2 linked regions of the Saccharomyces cerevisiae S288C genome follow. The gene in region 2 interacts genetically with the main gene of each other region. Each region holds a gene or a part of one and is shown on either strand. Other genes may lie near its edges.

Region 1 (3,760 bases), on a different chromosome or scaffold from region 2:
TCATGTCCCGTATACTGCAAGTAGATCCAAAGAAAAGAGCAACCTTAGATGATATTTTTAATGATGAATGGTTTGCCGCCATTGCTGCCTGTACCATGGATTCAAAAAATAAAGTTATTAGAGCGCCTGGCCATCACCATACATTGGTTAGGGAGGAAAATGCTCACTTAGAGACCTACAAGGTTTAATACGAACTACTCAATTATTTTCACTTCTTTTTTCGATTAATTTAATTGTATTTTCTATTTTTTCTTATTTTTTTCTTTCACTTTCCAATTGAAACGCTTGACGAAAATCTATATACTATATATACGGAAGAGTATCTATCATATTATACATACAATATAGAGTAACATTGCCCTTTGCTCCAAAAGCAAGAAACATCACTGAATTATTGTTTGAATTTGCAATTAGAAAAGTTTAAAAGAGTTTTTGTTTTAAACAATATGTACAGCATAGATAATGTCATGAATATTTACATCTATTGAATATCTTTCGTAGCTACCAATTCTGAATTATATTTTAACAATGATATATTGTTGACACCCCATTTCTCACTGAATGTATGCTTTCCGTTTAAGGATATAGTGTCATTATATCTTAATGTCCAATAAAGAAACAATCTTTTCAGTAAGATTTCTTTCCCTAACGTGTCATTAACCATCTCATTCAAGTCATCGCCCATGTGATAAAGTTTTCTTTCAAGTATACAGTTAACCAATTCTCTATCACTTAGCGCGATTTTAGTTTTCTCAACATCAGTGTTGAGTATACTCTGCAACAGCAACCAGTCATCGATAAACAGATACTGGTAAATTTTTTCTATCTCATTGCAAAGTAGCTTCTGTAATTTTAACTTTTTATAAATATACAGTTTCCAGTTTGATATCATACTTTGAGGAAAGCTTGTCAGAAAATTATACAAATTCTCAATAGGAACTGCATATGGTGGCTCATACTTAATTGTACCTTGCTTAGTAAACTCTAAGGGACCCAGACCGTAGTTACCTTGTGTGCTTGTTGTTCCCTTGATATATGAGTTGGAAAGCTTCTTGTATCCACCAGGAGTTAAACAATTGTACGGACAGACACGTGGAAAAAAGGTAAAGATCAATACACTTACCTCCTCAAATATGAATACTAAGGTGAAAAATACAGGTAATTTCCAGATTTGATCTCGTCTGATCAGTTCCACCAGTGTTTTCCTATTGATTGAAAGTGGCCTTAATGGGGCTTTTGCTGAAGAACTTGTAGGCAATGATGAAGACGATAGTCTTGTATTGATTTCATGCATTTCTATTTCCCGTACTAAGTTAGCCAATGCACCGTTTTTTATGCTGAATTTCTGCTCTTCGTTTCGAGTATCCCAGAATACTTTTAACGTGTTCTGAATTCCTGTTTTATAGCTTTTTAAAAGATACAATCCAATTCTAAACCAACCTGTCATGAATTTCCTCCATTTGCCAACCTTAGTATCCAATTTTACCTGTTCCAAGATCTCCTGCTTGGGGAACTTAGTCATTGGTAGGGATCGATTAGAGTTTAGAGTAGCGGCCAGAGGCTCTGGAGAATCGGATGGTGTTGTCTTCGCATTCCAATCGACATCCTGTACTATCTGTAGTGAACCTAATTTGTAACGGCTATTCAACGCTTTAAATAGTGGTGCCTTCACTAAACCGTGCAATTGAATAGAATCGCTTTTTATCACCGATGGTGCTATGTATTTTCGTACCAGTGCAACTCGAGAATCCATATCGATGGCATTAAAGGTGTTAACTCAATTAAATAGATTAATAAAGTTCTTTTTAAATATAGAGTAAAATGTTCTTATATCTCGTCACTGTATCAACAGCCGTCTTCCACTTTTCTACTTTTGCATATAATATTCCGTGCATTTTCTAGCGAGATTTATTATTCATCCGCAACAGGTTTGTACATAATAAAGTATAAAAACCTGCATCAAAATAAATGCGAAAAGGTAAGAAAAAGGTTATCTATAGATTATTTAGAATCGAGTAATTCCTGTGCAGACGTAATAGCGGATCTTGCATCACTGACATCTTCGGTACCCTGGTAAGTTTTTAGAAATTGTTCTAAATCCTCTTTAAATTCTCTAATCTTCTCATATAAAGTAGGTAATAATCTTTTTGTGTCATCAAGGACCTCCTCCTGTTTCTTCAAGTCATATGGGTCAACTGACTTGTCTTCTTTAAGTTTTGCCACATGTGCTTCCTGATCTTTCAGTTCTTGTTGGTAGTACCCTTCCTCCTTAGTCAGCCTCTTCAAGGCCTTGACTTTTATATCCAATTGTGTGGGTGCCATTGATAGTGAAATGTAGTTTTCTTGAGTTCAACCTGTTGTGCTTTATGCTCAAAAATGCCCTTATAAGACGCACTGTATCTAACTGCTCTGTTTATATGTAGCCATAGTAGTTCTTCATTATGATCCTTTGCGGGTAATACTACAAAAGGTGCGACATAAGCGGCCATTTATCGTTGAAATTGTGACACTTTTCTATTGATGACCACCTCTGGTGCAAATACACAATGTGTCACCGCTCATGCCATTATTCTACTTATATACGTATGATTTTACTTGAAACCTAGAATAAATTTTTTTATTCGCTGTAAATGCTACTGCTGCAACTTGCTATTTCAATGCAGTCAATTTTTTTTTGAAGAATATTCAAAGCCCTATCCTCGTCATCGTTGTCATCTCCATCATCACTGTCATCGTCAAAAGTCATGACATGCATTATTTTAGGCGGATCGAGAATTACTTTTTTTAATTTTCTTATAGAGAGTTTATTCAAAAGCGTATTGCACGATGATGTTTGTGCAACTTTTGGAAGCTTGTTATGTATATCCAGATCTTCCACTGATACTGTTGAGGGCAAAGTCTCCGCAGCAGTGCAATAGCCTTCCTCACTAGTGCTTTCAGACACAATGGATGATCTCATTGTCCTCTTATTCGTGTTCCATACTATACTTTCTACTTCGGACAATTCCTCATCTGAATTCGATTGGTCAGAGTATGTACTGCATCCAGACGTGGTGTATTCTGGGCTAGAAATGACATCGTTTAATGTGTTAGAATTGACAGGTTTCAACTTTGGTGTTGTTGACGAAAACAAAGTCTCTGTGTCGTCAGGGCAGACGACATATGGTACCTGAAATGCCTCATTTTTTTTAGCTATTTGTTTTGAAGCGCATATATCGATAATTCTGTCAATTTCTGAATTTAGGGCAGTAGAATCGCTTGTAGAAACGTTTTCATAGGCTGATAGAATTTCGTCAAACAATATTTCACTACCGCTTTTGCCATACTTATTTTTTCTACAGCAATCTTGTGTCTGTGTTTGCATTAGGGAGACCGGATTAATAGGAGTAAGGGCTTTTACAGGCATTACAATTGGGGCCGGGCGAGAGACAAACACTTTATCAATAATATGATCCGAATGTGTCTTATGCCCTAAAGATTGTACTACTGCAGGCTTTGACAGCGTCGGCCTACGTAAACTTTTTCTTTGAATTGGTAGTGATTTTACCTTCTTTCTTTCTCGTAATGGTAGAATCGTGCTTTGAGGACAAACTGGTCCCTTGGGAACTTGCATGTCAGTAAATTTTTTCTCTCTAATCACCTCAAGTTGGGAGCGTGGCCTCTTCTTGAAATCATGTAAGAACAATTCTGGAACAGACTCTAACCGTTTCTTCAGTTTCAGTGTACCCCCAAATCTTTTAGACAACCTGTTACCACCGTT
Region 2 (2,652 bases):
ATTCGGTATTAGAATTACTTGTGATGACGAATCACAATGTGAAGGCCTACCATGCTCCATTGACCCAAGTTCTAATGGAGTCAACGAAGTGACAAGTTCTGGCGGTGGTTCTTCCGGGGCTGGTGGTGGAAACTTTTGTGTTGTCACCGCCAGAAACGGCGCCAAGGCCAACATCGAAGTTTTTGATGTTGGTAGCGGCTCATCTTCTAAAGGCAAGAGAGAACTGAATCCGCTAGACGTTATTACCACAACGGTCACCGAGACCAAGTACAAGACAGTCACCGTCACTGCCAAAACTTAGCGCGGTTTTTTCTACCTTCCCTTTTTTCATCTTTTTGTTATATATATATACAGAGACACTCATGCGAATTTTCGCAAAACGAAGAAAAAAACATAAAATTTTCGTTTGTATCTACATGACTATCCTTTAATTATTACCTTTCTGTCAAATGTTTTATGGGAATATATATGTTAATATGAGCCAATAACTCACTAAAAACTCACTGATTTCGTTCCCTCTGTTTAGCTTCCTGCTCGATTCTCTTGATGGTCTGCTCTCTCTTAAAGTCGATGACCCTCTTCTCCTTGAAGTACTTGATCCAGCTATGGGCGCAATTCTCCTCAAATTTTTCATTTTCCACCTTGCAGTGCGACTTTATACTCTTGCTATTCTTGGGGTCCATTGCGTCCAAGATGTCTGCCTTGTCCAAACACTGGAAGAATGCGTCCCTGGACTCCCAGCACAACTTTCTCTGTGAACGGGTATTAGGGGGTTGTGATTCCTTTTTGCCACCATCAAATGAAAATAAGCCCATCGCTATATTACTACTATTCCTTTCTGTATATTCGTGTATCTATGTTCCTGCGCAGCGCTACAATAGTACCCGTCTATGTATGTATGTATGTATGTATGTAGGCGAATCTTCTCCCCCATTCTACAAAGCAGCACCTACCACCGCAGCACCGTTTCACATGTCCGTCTCTTTTGTTCAGCTCAGCTACAATCGTCAATCGCACTTTCTTCCGCGCGGGCGAGCCCGGTTTTGTTGGATTTGCTCAGGTGCCAATATACCATCAAGGAACGGACAGGGACCTGACAATACAATAGGCCATTTACATCACAATGCACAGGGACAGAAATTTATACACGATAACAATACCAACTAAACAAAAATATCTCCCGAGCCGATGCTTATTCCGCGGGTTCGATGCCGAAATAATTGTTGCATACGCTTTATCCAACACGATGGAGCGTGTTGGGCGCTTAAAGAAGAGACTCACTAAACTGTTCGGCTTTTTGGCTGCGCGTCTTTGCCGTTTCCCAACAAAAAACAATCATACTTAGTAACAAGAAAGACAAAAGCGCAAACCGAACCGCCCAGCTCAACCATCTTCGCCAAGTAGCGGCAAACTTATATAAGCTCCAACGATGTCCCCATCAATTAAGAACCCTCGATTGTCGGCGATCTATTTTTCTATTCTGGGTGTTTCTCGGCCTTCGTTCATCTCGTTCTTTCTACTCTTAGCCCTCATCTTTCTCTTCTGCATTCTTTTCACCTCATTAAGAACATTCGCGGCGCCGCTTTACCCCAACAAAAACAGCCCATCTTTTGTTCTACCTCTTTCAGATAAGGCTCAACAGATAGACAATAACTGATCATTCTTTCTTTTGTTTGCAACCCCTCTGAGTTGACATAAAAGCGAGAATACAAAAGAACCAGCATTAGTAACACATCATTTTTTTCTCTGTTCTTCACTATTTCTTGAAAAACTAAGAAGTACGCATCAAAATGACCGAACAATATTCCGTTGCAGTTGGCGAAGCCGCCAATGAGCATGAAACCGCTCCAAGAAGAAATATCAGGGTTAAAGACCAGCCTTTGATTAGACCCATAAACTCCTCAGCATCTACACTGTACGAATTCGCCCTGGAATGTTTTACCAAGGGTGGTAAGAGAGACGGTATGGCATGGAGAGATATTATAGATATACATGAGACGAAAAAAACCATAGTCAAGAGGGTGGATGGTAAGGATAAGCCCATCGAAAAAACATGGTTGTACTACGAACTGACTCCCTACATAACCATGACATACGAGGAGATGATCTGCGTAATGCACGACATTGGACGTGGGCTGATAAAGATTGGTGTTAAACCTAACGGTGAGAACAAGTTCCACATCTTTGCCTCTACTTCTCACAAGTGGATGAAAACTTTTCTTGGTTGCATGTCACAAGGTATTCCTGTGGTCACCGCGTACGACACTTTGGGTGAGAGCGGTTTGATTCACTCCATGGTGGAAACAGATTCCGTCGCCATTTTCACGGACAACCAGCTGTTGTCCAAATTAGCAGTTCCTTTGAAAACCGCCAAGAACGTAAAATTCGTCATTCACAACGAACCCATCGATCCAAGTGACAAAAGACAAAATGGTAAGCTTTACAAGGCTGCCAAGGATGCTGTTGACAAAATCAAGGAAGTTAGACCGGACATAAAAATCTACAGTTTCGATGAAATTATTGAGATAGGTAAAAAGGCCAAGGACGAGGTTGAATTGCATTTCCCCAAGCCTGAAGATCCAGCTTGTATCATGTACACTTCTGGTTCCACTGGTACACCAAAGGGTGTGGTATTGACACATTACAACATTG

The links. Genes that interact genetically often act in the same process or in processes that back each other up.
Region 1: mutations in COA6 (region 2) and PNT1 together harm fitness more than expected from each alone (negative genetic interaction), as found in Saccharomyces cerevisiae (2 studies listed by BioGRID).

The regions. Positions count from the first base shown.
Region 1 is NC_001147.6:819,016-822,775, reverse strand, and holds PNT1 (Pnt1p), read right to left. Parts: upstream 1,754-3,760; coding exon 482-1,753; downstream 1-481. Other genes in the region: putative serine/threonine protein kinase HRK1, read left to right, coding at 1-188; RBL2 (Rbl2p), read right to left, coding at 2,002-2,322; DSE3 (Dse3p), read right to left, coding at 2,618-3,760. UniProt on the Saccharomyces cerevisiae protein: Probably involved in mitochondrial export. Confers resistance to the anti-pneumocystis carinii drug pentamidine. May act by the removal of pentamidine, or its damage targets, from the matrix by an active-transport mechanism.
Region 2 is NC_001145.3:758,017-760,668, forward strand, and holds COA6 (Coa6p), read right to left. Parts: upstream 816-2,652; coding exon 501-815; downstream 1-500. Other genes in the region: YMR244W (uncharacterized protein), read left to right, coding at 1-301; long-chain fatty acid-CoA ligase FAA4, read left to right, coding at 1,791-2,652. UniProt on the Saccharomyces cerevisiae protein: Involved in the maturation of the mitochondrial respiratory chain complex IV subunit MT-CO2/COX2. Thereby, may regulate early steps of complex IV assembly.